3 linked regions of the Arabidopsis thaliana genome follow. The protein of the gene in region 1 interacts with the protein of each later gene in a pairwise test. Each region holds a gene or a part of one and is shown in the gene's direction. Other genes may lie near its edges.

Region 1 (5,990 bases):
AAACCTGACAGGTTTTTATCCATCTTATCTCTGTCTTGACCATTAACCTGCAGACCATGGATAGCTTTTCTGTTTTAATGAAAACATCAGACAAGTTATATGTATTTTTTCACAGACCTGCAATTGCTTGGGCAACATGGGATCTTATCGCTATGGTGGACGATGGCAAACATGATGGGACTCCAACACACTCTGTAACCTTTGTGTGGAATGGACATGAGGTGACTGTTGCTTCACATGCTTTTATTACTTTGCTGCAATTCTTTATGGAACTCGTGATCTGTAGGGTTGAGCAACTAGCCTCTGTGTTTTAAGTTACACCTTGGTTTACAGGGGGAGGAGGTATTGTTGGTTGGGGATTTCACAGGAAATTGGAAAGAACCGATAAAAGCAACGCACAAAGGCGGTCCACGTTTTGAAACTGAAGTTAGACTTACACAGGGAAAGTAAGTCATGCTTCTTTTACCTTTCCCGTTGATGCTTTTTTTAAGGTTCAACAGTAAAACGTCTCATAATCTTCCCTGCATGTTAATTGTGACTTTTGAGGGATTGCAAACTGCAAAGAAACTTATGAAAATGCATTTGTGTCATATAACTTGGTGATTATTGACAATGTGGCAGATACTACTACAAGTACATAATCAACGGTGATTGGAGGCATTCAGCAACTTCACCAACGGAAAGAGATGACCGAGGAAACACGAACAATATAATTGTAGTTGGTGATGTTGCTAACGTCAGGCCTACAATTCAACAACCAAGAAAGGTTACTCCTACTATGCAGTAGTCTCTTCTTCATACAATAGGAAAAGCTTGAATAAGATGTTCCACGTTATATTTGCCTGATTGGTTCAAGACATAAACCTGAAGCAACTTGTACAATGTTTTGCAGGATGCAAATATCATAAAGGTGATCGAGAGAGTGTTAACAGAGAGCGAAAGATTTAGGCTGGCGAAAGCAGCTCGGTGTATCGCATTCTCAGTTTGTCCAATAAGACTATGCCCAAAGTCGTAGAAGTTTTGTTTTGGCATAAGTTAAAATGTTACATCCATTCTTCTGTCTCTATCCATTCCTCGAGGTACTTAACCCTAATATCGTTGTGAACAACATTGCCACATTCGCGCACTCTATGACAAGAGAATGTTGACATTATGTTGTGTGTTTGCATGAAAAAATGTCGACATAGTTTCGCCGTTGCCCACTTTACATATAAGTCCCAAAACCAACCCTAATGCGTTACTGGTCTCTGTATTTCTTCTTCATTTTCTCTCTCTCTCTCGCTCTCTCCTAACATGTTGAAGAAAATAGAAACTCTGTTATCTAATGTTGCCTATATGATGATTTATGGCCATGGAAGGTCTGAGAGGAGAGACCCTTCTTCTCTATTTTTTTTATTTCCTCTTCATTTTCATGCTAAGAGTTTTCACTGAGTCTGTTGTTTCGTAGAGTAGAACAGTCCATGATCGATGTTAATCCTTTGCATCTTCTAGATTGTGTATACAATAGCAATCTCTGGTCTAGAGAGAGCCTAGAGAAGTATGGATCTTTCTATATGTATACCACAAACAAATGGCCTAACATCTAAAGTGGGTGGTGATTATTTAAGATGAGAGCCTGAGAGGGTAAGTGAAAGAGGCTGATCCTTGTTTTCATGATAAGGGACCTTATCCTCTAAACCTTTCTGAGACCTTTTATTTTTTTATAAAAAAAAGAATTGAAAGAAGAAAAGAGCACGTAAAAGTTTTGAAATCTTGAGCTAATATTCCTCATCCACAAGAAAAGAAGAAAGTTTGTTATTCACCGCAGCTATCGCTTTCGTTATCCTCGTTCCCACAACCTCACCATGACCATGAGACTCCGTTCTTTTAAACTCCCAAATCTTTCAACCAATCCCATTATTCACTTAAGTATATAGTAGCTTCCATAAGAGTCTTAGTTCTAACTATAAATACACATATCTCACTCTCTCTGATCTCCGCTTCTCTTCGCCAACAAATGTCGACCGCTCCTCTCTCCGGCTTCTTTCTCACTTCACTTTCTCCTTCTCAATCTTCTCTCCAGAAACTCTCTCTTCGTACTTCTTCCACCGTCGCTTGCCTCCCACCCGCCTCTTCTTCTTCCTCATCTTCCTCCTCCTCGTCTTCCCGTTCCGTTCCAACGCTTATCCGTAACGAGCCAGTTTTTGCCGCTCCTGCTCCTATCATTGCCCCTTATTGGGTATACATTTTTACATTCATCACTGTTTCTTAACCTACATTATTTCTTACATAACTTACATTGCTGTTTACGTATAATAGGGGTACATTACATAGATAGCAAACTAAAGTTACAGAATTTTAAAATTTGTAAAGATTTTACGAAATTATTATATAGATTCTGCAATTGCCATTTTAGTGATAGGAACAAAAATCTTCTATAGAAACTAGCTTACGAAACTTCCACAAATCTTGGAAACTGTCACATGTGTTTCACATTTCAGTTTTTTTTTCCCTTGGTATTTCCTTATATTATCCTTACTATTATCATCCGTGTTTGACTTTTGGTCTTTAGCGTGGTACTGAAAGAATTACCCAAATTAACAAGAATCAAACTAAAGTTGCTTAATTAGTGAATCACAAGCAAGGGAAGAGTTCATTTTCAATCCTTATTCTATACAGATCTTCAAACTACTTGCTTCGACATCTAGTGAAGTTAAAAACAAATCACCTCGAAATATTAAAAGCGTTGTCTCATTCCTACCCAAGATCCGACATTTTTGAAATTTTGAGAGTTAGAACGTACGTAGGATCCACGTGATAAAAGAAAAGTTGCTAGTAGTAGCTTCAACAAAAACGATTCATGAAACTGAGACGTGTGTGTATGCACATGTACCATATGAGAGCGTGTGGAGCATAGTGGTGATTAAGTCGCCATCTATATTTATTCATTCAACCTACCGATTTGGTTCCTACTAGCGAAAATAAAATCATAATATAAAAGACTATAAAATTGTACTTTATCGTATAATGAAGTTCTGAACAGGTTGATTGTAGTTTCAACATTTAAAACACGTCATGACTCGCTCTCTACTTAATTACGTTCACGACAATAAAATATACTAGTACTCATTTTCTTCTAATTTTATTTGGTCAACCAACTTGCAGAGTGAAGAGATGGGAACCGAAGCATACGACGAGGCTATTGAAGCTCTCAAGAAGCTTCTCATGTAAGTATATACATCTTTTCTATTCGCATGCATACATTAATACATGATTAGATTAATAAAAGCTAAAACATTATTATAAATTAGTAACGGGATTTTTCAATACTACTTAATTCATAATTTTTGTGATTTAACTATAAATGTATATAAACATATGGCAGCGAGAAGGAAGAGCTAAAGACGGTTGCAGCGGCAAAGGTGGAGCAGATCACAGCGGCTCTTCAGACAGGTACTTCATCCGACAAGAAAGCTTTCGACCCCGTCGAAACCATTAAGCAGGGCTTCATCAAATTCAAGAAGGAGAAATACGAGTAATATATATTTCTATTTCATTTGTTTGTTCTTAATTATGTCACCAACTAAAGTGGTCTAGATTAATTAACTGGTTCATATTTATACTTTTATTTGCAGAACCAACCCTGCTTTGTACGGTGAGCTCGCAAAGGGTCAAAGTCCTAAGGTAAATTAAAAATAAAACTAATACTATGTGTATATCATGGTTGCTTATAAATTAAAAATGAAACATTAAGAAAAAGTAATTAACAAAGGTGTGTGAATGGTGGTGCAGTACATGGTGTTTGCTTGTTCAGACTCACGTGTGTGTCCATCACACGTTCTGGACTTTCAGCCAGGAGATGCCTTCGTGGTCCGTAACATAGCCAACATGGTTCCTCCTTTCGACAAGGTTAATAATTTAACACGTCTGTCTCTCTATAGATATAAACTCTTCTATCTTAAACCTTCTGCCTCTTGAGTCTTGACTTTTGTCTTGAGAAGTCGTGACATTCACTTTCTATTTTCATTTTTGGGTTGCTAAATTGGCAGGTCAAATACGGTGGCGTTGGAGCAGCCATTGAATACGCGGTCTTACACCTTAAGGTGAAAATAAAATAAAATAATTAACACCTTAACCAAAAAAAATTATTTATCAAAGTACATGTAATTAATTTTTGAATGAATTTATTACTGTAGGTGGAGAACATTGTGGTGATAGGACACAGTGCATGTGGTGGGATCAAAGGGCTTATGTCTTTCCCCTTAGATGGAAACAACTCCACGTAAAATATCTCTATATCCATTTTATTAAAATTTAATCAATTTTAATAACAGGATTTATTAAATGAGATTAGTAAAAAATATATACGTTAATTGCAGTGACTTCATAGAGGACTGGGTCAAAATCTGTTTACCAGCCAAGTCAAAGGTTATATCAGAACTTGGAGATTCAGCCTTTGAAGATCAATGTGGCCGATGTGAAAGGGTATACAAACACATGTTAGATCGATGAGCTGATCATATATAACAATATAAATGTATTGATAAATGCAGGAGGCGGTGAATGTTTCACTAGCAAACCTATTGACATATCCATTTGTGAGAGAAGGACTTGTGAAGGGAACACTTGCTTTGAAGGGAGGCTACTATGACTTCGTCAAGGGTGCTTTTGAGCTTTGGGGACTTGAATTTGGCCTCTCCGAAACTAGCTCTGTATGAACCAATCCATCATCATCATCATCATCATGACCATCCATCATCATCATCATTATTATCATCGTATATAATATATATCTACCCCATATGTAATTTGTAATGTGCCTTTGACTGTGATGAGTTATCTCTCCCTCTCTACCAACTTTCTTCATATATATAAAACAAAAAGGAAAAGCAGATGATATAGATCTTTCGTGGTTTAATTATGAACAATTGTCTTTATTATTTGTGTATCAAATCGGTTGTATTTATGGTTTGATTTTATTTTCTATGTTGTTTGGTAGGTTAAAGATGTGGCTACCATACTACATTGGAAGCTGTAGGAAACTCTTTGAAGCCTTACCCGATTTCACATTGTCAATTCAATAACACCAAGTTGTTGTTTACATGCAGATCTTGATGAAACTGGTTTTTGATTTTACAGAATTAAAATCTTGGGGGACAGAAATTTGAATAAAAACTAAAAAAAAAAAAATCAAAAAAAAATCATTGAATCGTAAATAAGGATATCCGGGACGGGCGGATCCGGATAATGAAAAAAATGAACCCGGATATCCGGATCCGGTACCATTAACTACATGAAATAAAAAGGCTTGGAAACCCATTTAGCTAAAAGCCCATATATTTAACAAACCAAATATTTTTGATACCCAAGCCCAATTAATTATCACTTGCCGACACAAACACAAAATCATTCTTTGAAGGTCACAAAATCATTTCGATCTCTTCTCGATATCTCACAAACCCTAGAACTCTGGATCTTTTAATTTCTGGGTTCGATACCCAAATCCTTAAAACTGTCGAATTCTGGTACCCGGAACCCGGATATCCCAGTCTAACAGATCCGGATGCGGATAGTGAAACTGTAGATTTGTAGCTTCGTAGTTTTTTGGTCATATAAAATATAAACATCTGAAATTTGTCTGTGTATGTTGCTGTTTAAATTTGTCCGCCTACACATTATGGGCCTAGGCCCAAGTTTGCAATTCTTTATTGTGGCAATTAAATGGTCAGGTTCGGTTTAGGTTTTACATATCCATCATGAAAAAGCACCGTTGAACGGGCTTAAATCTTTGTCCAAGGACGACGTTTATGAATCCGGTATAAATCGATCGAAGAAGATTAAACCCACAAAACGAAAAGGCTAAAGCTTGAGGAAAAAGTAGCAAAGTGACCAAGAGTCCCATGATTTCATGAAGACATGAACTATATATATCTACTCATTGATTTGATAAATACATTATATTTGATGTTACATATTTTTATTTGAGATTTCTAATATATATTTTCAGAATG
Region 2 (7,418 bases), on another chromosome or scaffold:
CCTCAGTGAGCCTGAATGCGTAAGATAAGTATCATTTCTCATTGGTCGTAGTTCTATAGATGATATTATTGGCGAGGTTGGTCCTGTTTTAACAAGACAAATATCCAAAGAGCTTGACCTCACTCTGTGTATGATCTCCTCGAATGTACCATTTTGTCTTCCTTCCATATCTATTCTTGCCCACTTATCAGGACCAAGATAGAGATCAAAGTTTGGATAAATATTAAGACCATCATAATTTCCATATATGAAGGTAACCAATATAAGATAATTTGTGCCACGAGTGACATTCAGACTAACAATTACGCTTTCCTTCCGGAAAGTATCTTAGAGTCAAATATGGTTTTCGGAATATTTTGTTGAGCTCTTTATCGACTCTACCACTTTCTCCAGTCTGGATAAATGTTGAATCTGATGTGAATGTTAATCCAGTAGATGGATCACTATAAGGAGATTCCTCAATAGGAAATCCGCAATCCAAACTGATGAAACCTGTTCAAGCATAAAAAGGATCGACGAAGTTTAAAAAAAAACTATATATAGAAGATATATCAATTTAAAGGATGGATGATCCTCGGTGAATATCTACTAAAGAGTTTATAAATTATTACCTTCTTGTTTTTGGGCGCCAACTATAACGGCAAAGGTTCCAATTATGGCCAACAAAAGATGGCTCATCATCTTCTTGGAAAGCTAATATGGAAATCAAGAACATAAAAAAGACTTGCTTAGTGAAAACAAGGAGCTACGTAAATGAGAAATACCTCACATACACAGATTGGAAGGAATAATACATTAAAGAAAGTCAACTTAAGCCAGACATGAAGATTGAATAATTGCGAGAATTGCTTTATTTTTGGTTTATTGTGTGAATTTCTTTGACATGTTCCAACCCCAACTTGTGTTTAAAATAATAGGTTATGATCATAAGACTCCGACATGTATAGGAATTTCCTTGTATTAAGGTTTGTATATGTCTTCTTTAAACCCTTGACCAAACATAATAAATCTTCGATTGATCGTTAGACTTGGAGCACAAGGATATAACAAGGTTTGATTTAAGTAATTAGTTTGAACCCGGTCGTTACAAAAAAGGATTTACTACATATGAAAAACAATTACATATTACAACCTATTTGAAACATTACGTCTGATTCACATAAAGAAACATTACGTCTGATCCACAATAATTATAGACGTAACTTATGTAACTTGTTGTAGAATAATTATGTAAAAGAGAGAATTCGTATATTACAACATGGACAGGAAAAAATAAAGATAAAGATCATTTTGTTTGATTCAATGATTTGCTTCTTACAAACTCAGGTATTTATACAAATAATGTGCATCAAGGTAGCCAGTACTAAATTTTAAAAATATATTTACAACCACACTTTAACTATTACAAACTTGTTAAAAAAGCAACAATAAAAAATAAGAATTATCACATAATTAATATTTTTATATAGTTAACACATACAGTTTCCGATTGTCAAAGCTCCATTAAAAAAGCAAATTGTGAACCAAGTGGATAATGGTCCAGTAGCGTTTGGAAATGATCTTTCCAAAATAAGGTTTGATCTCTTTTCCCACTAAATCCCACCTAACAAGGGATATTAACAAAGGTTGATGTAGAATTTCTTGGTTGACAATGTATAGTAATACTGAGAATATGAGCTATAACTATAAGAGGCCAGCTATCTCTTAACGTCTATGAGTAAGCCATAGATAGATAATGCATATACAGGCAAACAAAACGAATATTAGGGTTTGTCAAGAAAAGACTAATCTTAGTTTATTTTTGAAGACCAAGAATTTTACATTATTGCAGAGGTATTGCGATTATAATTGAGTGAAAGTCAACAAAATGTATTAAATCCACCAAGTTGTTGTTAAGTACAAGTCGTTAGCAGAATTATCATATAGTTTATAAAGCTTTGACATTAGATCAACTTGGCAGGTTTTACATTGTTTAAACAAAGATTACATCAGGTGCTTTGATTTATGATTAAATTGCTCTCTTTTTTCCACAAAGTGGAATATAAATGTATATATCTTTGTTAGACCATTCTTCAGTCGTGCTTGGATATGAATCTATAATTGGAGAGTATTCCACGCCAACATGTGTTTTGGATTTTAATTGATCTTCATCTAAAGTATTTCTATCATTTGTACTAGAAAATCAATATATTGTATCATATATTTCAGATTGTCTTTGGTTTCAAAAATTTGTATGTTAACTTAACTTGAAAATGGAAGGTCGTCGTCAACGTTTACTGGTGTTCATCTTTGGGGCTTTGGCCATTACACATCTTGTTCAAGCTCAGCCGCCTGATCAACGAGGTTTCTCTATATACCTTTTTTTAATAATTGCTTCATGTTCAGTTTTTGACACATAAAGACTTAAGGATTAGCCAAGTAGTTGAGTGTTCTTGCTCGACTGGTCGAGATCACTAACCGATTTCTACTTTGTTGTACGCATAGCCACCATGAAAATAATATTAACGATTACAGATATAAGAGATTTGGTTAAAGAAAATAAAGGATTCTCTGTTTTCCAAAACTTTTGATTGTCTTCCTTATAAGCTTCATGGTCTAACAAAAGGAAAACATTATTTTTCACTAATAATACATTTTGTATCTTGCCAGGATTCATCAGTTTGGATTGCGGTTTACCCGTTAATGAGTCTCCTTATACCGACCCACGAACCGGATTAACATTCTCATCTGATGCTGATTTTATTTTAAGTGGTTTACGTGGTGAAGCTGGGGATGATAACACATATATCTACAGGCAGTACAAGGATTTGAGATATTTTCCCGATGGAATACGAAACTGCTATAATCTGAAAGTAGAGCAAGGCATCAACTATTTGATAAGAGCAGGGTTCGGATATGGAAATTATGATGGTCTTAATGTATATCCCAAATTTGATTTACATGTTGGGCCTAACATGTGGATTGCGGTTGATTTGGAATTCGGAAAAGATCGTGAGATCATTTACATGACAACGTCGAACTTATTGCAGATTTGTCTTGTCAAAACAGGATCAACTATACCAATGATATCAACCTTGGAACTACGGCCACTAAGAAATGATTCATATTTGACTCAATTCGGTCCCTTAGACCTCATCTACCGGCGGGCCTATAGTAGCAATTCTACCGGTTTTATACGGTATGTAAACTCAACTTTAGCAACTCTTTTATAAAAAAAAACAATCTAACATGATTCATTTACTTTTGCATGGCTACTCCAAAAATGGTTTTAGGTATCCTGATGATATTTTTGATCGCAAATGGGACCGATATAATGAATTTGAAACGGATGTGAACACCACCCTCAACGTGAGATCCTCGAGTCCCTTTCAAGTACCAGAAGCTGTAAGTAGGATGGGAATCACGCCCGAAAATGCCAGCTTGCCATTGAGATTTTACGTGTCTCTAGATGACGACAGTGACAAGGTTAACGTGTACTTTCACTTTGCCGAAATCCAAGCTTTGAGGGGCAATGAGACTAGAGAATTCGACATTGAATTGGAAGAAGATATTATTCAGTCAGCATATAGTCCTACGATGTTACAATCAGATACCAAATATAACCTATCACCTCACAAATGTAGCTCCGGGTTGTGCTACTTGAAACTCGTTAGAACTCCAAGGTCAACTCTTCCACCGCTGATTAGTGCTATTGAGGCTTTCAAGGTTGTGGACTTTCCATACGCTGAAACAAATCCAAATGACGGTACGCCACTATTCCATTCTCTATTCTGTAAGAAAGGGCTTATTTGCAAAAAAAAAAAAAACAATCACAAAATTGGGGGAAAAATAATGGTCACAAAACGGAGAAAATATTCATGTGTTTATCGTGTTTAATTTGAAATATTGTACTACCATGTTAAAAATTGTGTTATGAAATATGACATGATATTTGTTAAAAATAGCGCGATAAATGAACCAACTTAATCTTTTTTTTTTTTGCAAATAATAGGGTGGAATTTTTGTTTATTTAGTACATACCCTCATTAAGAAACTTTAATCTTTTATATGCTAATTCTTGGCTTCCTCCTCGAACCATTATGTTAGTCGCTGCTATGAAGGATATCGAAGCATTTTATGGATTGAAGATGATTAGTTGGCAAGGAGATCCTTGTGTCCCTGAACTATTAAAGTGGGAAGATCTAAAATGCAGCTACACAAATAAGTCTACTCCTCCAAGAATTATTTCTTTGTACGATCATTATATATCTCATAAGCATATTGAAACCTAAATCTCTTAAGTCTTAAGTATCTTATATCTGAAAAAATGTTCTTATATTGTGAACAGAGATTTGTCATCACGAGGGTTAAAAGGGGTCATTGCGCCTGCCTTCCAAAATTTGACCGAGCTTCGAAAACTGTAAGAGCTATTAGTATTTTACTTAAACGCGATCCATGAGAAAACATTTATATTGTGACCAACATATTTCTAATTTTTCACATCTTATAACAAATTGGACGAAAAAAAATATCTCATCTCATACTATTTTTTTATTTATCCTATTAACGGAAAATAGATTGACTTTTTAACGTTTTATAAATACTAGAGACTTGTCAAATAATAGTTTTACTGGAGGAGTGCCCGAGTTTCTAGCCAGCATGAAGTCATTATCGATCATGTAAGTTGATATAAACAAACATAATGGCCGGCCACTTATATTTCACTAGGTATACTTGTTGTCACTTTACATTGACATTGTAATTTTGTGTTTACCTTGACAGAAATTTAAATTGGAATGACCTTACGGGTCCTCTTCCTAAATTGCTTCTTGATAGAGAAAAGAATGGGCTTAAGCTAACGTAAGATTTTCACCCTTCTTTTTTTTTTATCAACTTTCCTCAACCTATAGTCTTATTCAACAACACTTATTTTCTTAAGGATCCAAGGAAACCCAAAGTTGTGTAACGATGCGTCATGCAAAAATAATAACAATCAAACGTACATTGTACCAGTTGTTGCGTCAGTAGCTTCTGTGCTCATCATTATAGCCGTACTGATTCTCATTCTTGTTTTCAAAAAGAGAAGGCCAACGCAAGGTACATAATTATACAATGAGATATATATTCTTATCGTAACATGCATGCATGATGATGACATACCAAAAGATGCCTAATCTCATGGAACTTTTTGGTTGTGACAGTTGATTCATTACCTACAGTGCAACATGGGTTACCAAATAGACCGTCTATATTTACTCAAACGAAAAGGTTCACTTATTCAGAGGTAGAAGCATTAACAGATAATTTTGAAAGAGTTCTTGGAGAAGGAGGGTTTGGGGTAGTGTATCATGGTATTTTAAATGGTACGCAACCAATAGCTGTTAAACTACTCTCTCAATCATCAGTACAAGGCTATAAGGAATTCAAAGCTGAGGTATGTTAATACATAATACATGGAATATATTGTAACATGTGATGGCTCTTAAATTTGTTTGGACATGGGTGGTCAGGTTGAACTTCTTTTGAGAGTGCACCACGTCAATTTGGTTAGTTTGGTTGGATATTGTGATGAAGAAAGCAACTTGGCCCTGCTTTATGAGTATGCACCGAACGGAGACTTAAAACAACATCTATCAGGTATAAATTTGAATTTCCCACATTTTAAAATAGTGATTACTTAGCCATATTTTAATGTTCATGCTTTTATAACATTACTAAAAGTTTCTTAATTATAGGAGAACGGGGTGGCTCTCCATTGAAGTGGTCAAGTAGACTAAAAATTGTCGTCGAAACTGCGCAAGGTTCGTTCTTAGCTCAAATGCATTAATCACTTTATATGGATCATCTAACATGAACAATTTAATTATATAAATATAGGATTAGAATACTTGCATACGGGTTGCAAACCTCCAATGGTACATCGTGATGTAAAAACAACAAATATACTTTTAGACGAACACTTCCAAGCAAAACTCGCCGATTTTGGCCTTTCAAGATCATTTCCAGTTGGAGGTGAAACTCATGTTTCAACAGCTGTTGCTGGAACTCCTGGATATTTGGATCCCGAGTAAGTTTTACATCACCAAACTAGTTTGATTCAAATTGTTTTTCCTCATTCATTTGAAAAAAAAAATACTTCATGTTTTGTTTGTAGATATTATCGAACAAATAGGTTGAACGAAAAGAGTGATGTATATAGCTTTGGGATTGTATTATTGGAGATCATCACAAGTCGACCTGTGATTCAGCAAACCCGAGAGAAGCCGCACATAGCAGCATGGGTGGGATACATGCTTACTAAGGGAGATATTGAGAACGTTGTGGATCCAAGACTCAATAGAGATTATGAGCCTACTTCTGTTTGGAAGGCTCTTGAGATAGCAATGTCTTGCGTGAATCCTTCTTCGGAGAAAAGACCAACCATGTCTCAAGTTACTAATGAACTAAAGCAATGTCTAACATTAGAAAACTCAAAGCGAGGAGTGAGAGAAGACATGGGATCAAGAAGTTCTGTTGAAATGAGCACAAGCTTTACAACCGAAATTAACCCAAAAGCACGATAACTTGTGCCAAAAAAAATCCCATGGTTATTAAGGATTTTGGATTTCCCTGACTTACTTTACAAAAATATAATTTTTGGTGGTCATTTATTTGTACGACTTCATTGTATTTACTTGTGATTGTGGTCGTATGTGATATTAGTGTGGATGTTTTGTTTGGTTTGGTTTGGTTTGGTTTTATGTTGGTTGTGGCCTTGTGTGTGTTTTGGCGGTGATCCATCATAAATGATTCTTTTGCAAATCTCTGATGATTTTTTTCATCGGATTATGGTATTTTTATTGTTTATATATGCTCACTGATCCAAAATATGTTGTCATTGTTTATGTTACATGCTTCCCTAACTCCTTTTGTAATTGATCAAAAACTTTTGTTTGATAATTATCAAGTTTTGGACTAGTTCTTTTGGTCCATGGACTACAAATCTGCTTCCATCTAATGTTTCTCTGGACCAGTCTCATAATTATACATTTGTTGTTCACATAGTACATCTCCATAATATCATATATTTGACTTTCGGTATGAAATCTTTGTATATATATAGGTTGGACCAAGAAGTTAGGATTCATAATCATAAAAAGTAAGAAAGACGACTAGTTCACGACTCACATCAAATTCCAAAGTATAATTTTCTTCGTAAAATGAAAGTTATATTAGATGAAAATCTTGCAGGTCCATTGGATATCAATTCACGAGATATGTAAACATACCTATATTAATATCACATTATTTTGATTGTATTTGTATAAGTTTTCGCCTACTCACATGCCATGATTTTGCATAAGCTGTTTTTTTTTTTTTGCATAAGCTTATCAGGCTAGTTACGGTCACATTAGTTACTAGAACATTCAACATATATAATTTTCCATAGCAGGATCCGG
Region 3 (4,334 bases), on another chromosome or scaffold:
GTCGGATCTCTTTCTTGATTTGGCCGACACATCTGATCTAACAATGGCGACGAACAACATCGTACGTTTGATCGCTCCAAGCCGATCCGTCTCCTCTAGATTCCTCGAGCCAGTGTCACGGTTTCTAAGCTCCGGTACACCTCCTCCGCCGCAAGCTCCATCTCCGAATCAGGATCTGAACCGGGACGTGAAGCCAGATCAGAATCTTCAACAGAATCTGCAGATGCAGAAGGAAGAAGAAGAGGAAGGAGAAGGTGGTGGAGGTGGAGAGTTTGTGAACGAAGATACTGGTGAGATTGGAGGGCCTAGAGGTCCTGAACCGACTCGGTACGGCGATTGGGAACAACGTGGTCGATGCTCTGATTTCTGAGAGGATTCATGTATCCCTGTGTTTTAGCTTGTTCTTATATATTTCTGGGAAAAATGGAAATAAATTCGTTTTATGTGTTTATGTATTTGCAAAATAATGGAGAAAATGGAAGAAAATGTAGTAGAACTTCAAATTCGTTGCCTTTATTTGGATCATCATTCTCTGGTGATCTTGTTATTCCAGTAATAGTTAATAAGTTCTTCCTCAGGTGGGTTAAATGTGCATCTATACATCTCTATCTAAAAAATTTGGGACACTTTAATACAGGTTTAGTGATGATTTAGAATTAAGGAAACAACAAGAGATGAGTTTAACTAACCTGAGAGTTCAGAGTTCAGGTTTGACATTACCCGGTGGTTACATGAGTTCTGGTCCAAGTTTAGGCATGGCTGCATGGGTCAGTGAGATGATGTCAAGGTATTTCTGTTGTTCAACAACATTGCAATGTGCACTTCTGTGATAACTACAATTGCACAACTGGGTGATGCTCAAATTACAATTAAATCCGTATATGATATAAAATTACAATTAAAAATATCAGTTTACATGATATATGTATTATGTTCCAATACTCTTTAAAAGTTAGAAAAAGATTGGCATCATCATGCATTTTTTTTTTTTTTTTTTTTTTGAAGTTCTTATAACTTTACTCCGATCAAAAACTAAAAAAAAATACAAGAAAATGATCATATAAAAAGCATTTTGACTTCTTCTTCTTCTGTTTTAGATTATTCGATAGAAGAAACGTGGCATTATAGTAAACACAGAAAAAAAGGGAAAAAAGGGTAACAATCAATTCAAGCGAAGCTAAGAAATATGAAGAGAGACCAGTAAAATATTTATGACGCAATTTTGCGGACCTCAACATAATTCACGATTAGTTAACATTTTTGAAGAGAGTATCTGATCATGTGGTTAAAATTAAGACTAATCTAAATTTATCTTTGAAGAAGAAAGGATAATAATACGGATAAAAGTTTGAAAAAACGAACAGCTAATTATGAGCTGTGTAACGCCGAACAAGAACAAAAAAAACAAAGGACACACTGATCTGTTTTTGTACGGCTCTTAAATTAAATCATTTATAAAAAAAAAACATGCAGAGTCGTGTTTCAATTGATAAAGCCGATAATAAAACCAACTTGACGAAAGCTTTTTCAAGAACGAGGAAAAAAGGCCGTTAAGGCGCGTGGATTCTCAGCCGTCCGTTTCGTAACCGTAGACTCCACGCGCCTCTCGGGTAATTTTCGCAGGTGGGTGTCTCTGTTGATGATATGAACCAAGAAAATATCTTCAAATTATTGAACACAAAAGTAAGAAAAAAGTGAGATAATAAGGAAATTAAAACAATAAATTATCCTTTCGGTGGGATTTTTTTTGTCGTCTTCTATTGTTTTTGTGAGTGTGTGTGTTTATATAATGGTAAGAGATCTCTGATCTCTCAAGCTTCTCTATAGAGAGAGTTTCTTCTCATGCTCTTTCTACCAAGGAGAAGATTTTCTCGTTAATTTTGTTTGACTTGCCTCTTCGAAGCAACCTGATTCTGTGGTCTGAATCTTTTCAAGGTATATATGTCGGAACAAATTAGAGCATTGATTGATTCTTGTTCTTACATTTTCTATCGATCTGTTTCAAGAATTCTTGTTATTTCTGATTGATATTTTCGTGTGAATATATATGTAGAGATTTGTTCTTATCCTATTCGATTTGTAATCGTAAATGAGATCTGGTTACATAATGCTGTGAAAATTGTTGTCTGAGTCACATATTTCGTGTAGAAATGACAATGAAGTTTATCTGTGGCTAAAGAATCGACAATATATATTTTCATTTGATTGATGCAGGGAAGAGAAGATAAGCTAAACAAGAGAATGGTGACAGGTTGTGTTGATCTTCATCAATCTTTCAAATCTGCAGATTCATCTTCTGTGCCAATTCCTCCTCCTCTTCCATCAAAATCTGATGGACTCAAGAAAAAACTTGGGCATAGCAGCGTTTCGACAGCCACAAGAGATATGTGGGATCGTCTTTTCAATGACGGATACAAAGCTGATGTAGTCATCTATACAGATAATGGCAGTATCATCTATGCTCATGCCAACATCCTTGTAAGCTCTCCTTATAACTCCTTTGACCATAATTATCAATGTGTAGTTAGGATCTTTAGCTAAGCGAATACAGACTTTAGCAGTTGATTAGAAAGGTCTAGACTTGGTTGATATGGACATTGTCTTTCTTGAATTAATAGGGAACTGCTTCCACTGTGATCAAAGGCATGTTGAAGCAAGCCAAGAGACATGGCAAGTGGCATACAATATCAATCCGAGGTGTCCCTCATGATGCTGTGCGAGTTTTTATCCGTTTCCTCTACTCTTCTTGGTATATATAAATTCCATTTCTTCTTGCTCTCTATATTTATTTGCTCTGCCTCTTTTAACATTCGTCTTATGATCTTTTCACTGACGAAATCTGATTTCCTTTGTGTAGCTATGAGAAAGAAGAAATGAACGAGTTTATCATGCATTTGCTACTTCTGTCACACGCGTACGTGGTTCCTCAGCTGAAACGGGTCTGTGAATGGCATCTAGAACATGGTTTGCTTACCACTGAGAATGTGGTTGATGTGTTCCAGCTTGCGCTGCTGTGTGATTTCCCTCGGCTTAGCCTCATATCTCACCGTATGATCATGAAACACTTTAACGAACTCTCTGCGACAGAAGCATGGACAGCTATGAAGAAAAGCCATCCCTTTCTTGAGAAAGAAGTTAGAGACTCAGTAATCATCGAAGCAAATGTAAGTAGTGATTTAATAAACTTCCTTTTTTCCCTGTATTTTCTCCTAAATTCTAAATCTTGAACATAAACGCAGACGCGGAAAGAGAGGATGAGAAAACGCAATGATCAGAGGATATATTCGCAGCTATACGAAGCAATGGAAGCACTTGTTCATATATGCAGAGATGGATGTAAAACAATAGGGCCACACGATAAAGATTTCAAACCGAACCATGCAACGTGTAACTATGAAGCTTGCAAGGGATTAGAATCACTGATCCGGCATTTCGCAGGCTGTAAGCTAAGAGTTCCAGGAGGTTGCGTGCATTGCAAGAGAATGTGGCAACTCCTTGAACTGCATTCACGTGTTTGCGCAGGTTCTGATCAATGTCGAGTCCCTCTATGCAGAAACCTTAAGGAGAAGATGGAGAAACAGAGCAAGAAAGATGAGTCGAGATGGAAACTTCTGGTGAAGAATGTATTGGGGAGTAAGAAAATCGGAGGCTCTCCTTTCTTTTTACCGGTGACAAACTGTTAAAAAACATTTTGTCAATCTCAAGAAGGGCGAGTTTTAAGCGTTTCTTGTGATCCTATCTTTAAAACAAGTGTAACATAATGAGTTTGAATAAATGACACATATTTTGGTCGGCCAAGAGAGTCTCTGGAATATCAAATCCGGTCTACGGATCGGTTTAGTGATTAAGTGGCAAAATTGGTAATAAGCTCAGTGAGTCATCTTGTTGTGAAATGAACAGAAGAAGAAGAATCTACCAAATTTTATAGGACCCAACTTGCTTTGTTATTTTTAATAAATCCAAATATGGAAAAAAGGAAACGAAAAGATCGTGGTGGGAAAAAGTGACGTAGAACAAGACAAAAGCAGTAAGAGCTGAGAGGACGTGGTACAAGTGTACACAAAATCGGCCTCACTCACATCACATGTTTCTATTTCATTAAATTAGTAATGTTGGAAACATTCATTGTCACAAAACCAAATCCTCAACAATGATCGTATCATGTGTAGTATATATTTTCTTCTCCTTTCAAAATCCCTTTTTCTAATCACTTTCGTATTGGGTTCTGATTCCTTCAACAACAAAGAAACACAAAACTTAACCAAAATCAAGAAATTACGAAATTTTCATATATATATCTATCTATATTTAAATTGCTGACAAATAAAAAACTA

What was found. The genes of interacting proteins can lie anywhere in the genome.
Region 2: the proteins of CA1 (region 1) and AT2G28960 interact in a protein complementation assay, tested with the Arabidopsis thaliana proteins (one large-scale study listed by BioGRID).
Region 3: the proteins of CA1 (region 1) and BT4 interact in a two-hybrid assay, tested with the Arabidopsis thaliana proteins (one large-scale study listed by BioGRID).

The regions. Positions count from the first base shown.
Region 1 is NC_003074.8:193,880-199,869, reverse strand, and holds CA1 (carbonic anhydrase 1), read left to right. Parts: upstream 1-1,709; 5' UTR 1,710-1,996; coding exon 1,997-2,218; intron 2,219-2,305; exon of another isoform or gene 2,306-3,022; intron 3,023-3,144; coding exon 3,145-3,206; intron 3,207-3,364; coding exon 3,365-3,514; intron 3,515-3,614; coding exon 3,615-3,663; intron 3,664-3,771; coding exon 3,772-3,888; intron 3,889-4,028; coding exon 4,029-4,082; intron 4,083-4,175; coding exon 4,176-4,261; intron 4,262-4,358; coding exon 4,359-4,464; intron 4,465-4,532; coding exon 4,533-4,691; coding exon of another isoform or gene 4,692-4,697; exon of another isoform or gene 4,698-4,978; coding exon 4,979-5,017; 3' UTR 5,018-5,444; downstream 5,445-5,990. Other genes in the region: LSF1 (uncharacterized protein), read left to right, coding at 1-11, 116-221, 334-446, 622-766, 893-1,015. UniProt on the Arabidopsis thaliana protein: Reversible hydration of carbon dioxide. Required for photosynthesis in cotyledons. Binds salicylic acid.
Region 2 is NC_003071.7:12,437,182-12,444,599, reverse strand, and holds AT2G28960 (Leucine-rich repeat protein kinase family protein), read left to right. Parts: upstream 1-2,007; 5' UTR 2,008-2,252; coding exon 2,253-2,343; intron 2,344-2,649; coding exon 2,650-3,178; intron 3,179-3,272; coding exon 3,273-3,745; intron 3,746-4,086; coding exon 4,087-4,231; intron 4,232-4,327; coding exon 4,328-4,399; intron 4,400-4,586; coding exon 4,587-4,658; intron 4,659-4,761; coding exon 4,762-4,839; intron 4,840-4,918; coding exon 4,919-5,076; intron 5,077-5,180; coding exon 5,181-5,413; intron 5,414-5,489; coding exon 5,490-5,616; intron 5,617-5,714; coding exon 5,715-5,780; intron 5,781-5,856; coding exon 5,857-6,046; intron 6,047-6,133; coding exon 6,134-6,542; 3' UTR 6,543-6,882; downstream 6,883-7,418. Other genes in the region: AT2G28970 (Leucine-rich repeat protein kinase family protein), read right to left, coding at 1-11, 301-492, 612-681.
Region 3 is NC_003076.8:26,930,404-26,934,737, reverse strand, and holds BT4 (BTB and TAZ domain protein 4), read left to right. Parts: upstream 1-1,912; 5' UTR 1,913-2,208; coding exon 2,209-2,478; intron 2,479-2,618; coding exon 2,619-2,749; intron 2,750-2,857; coding exon 2,858-3,164; intron 3,165-3,239; coding exon 3,240-3,683; 3' UTR 3,684-3,798; downstream 3,799-4,334. Other genes in the region: AT5G67490 (succinate dehydrogenase assembly factor), read left to right, coding at 44-370. UniProt on the Arabidopsis thaliana protein: May act as a substrate-specific adapter of an E3 ubiquitin-protein ligase complex (CUL3-RBX1-BTB) which mediates the ubiquitination and subsequent proteasomal degradation of target proteins.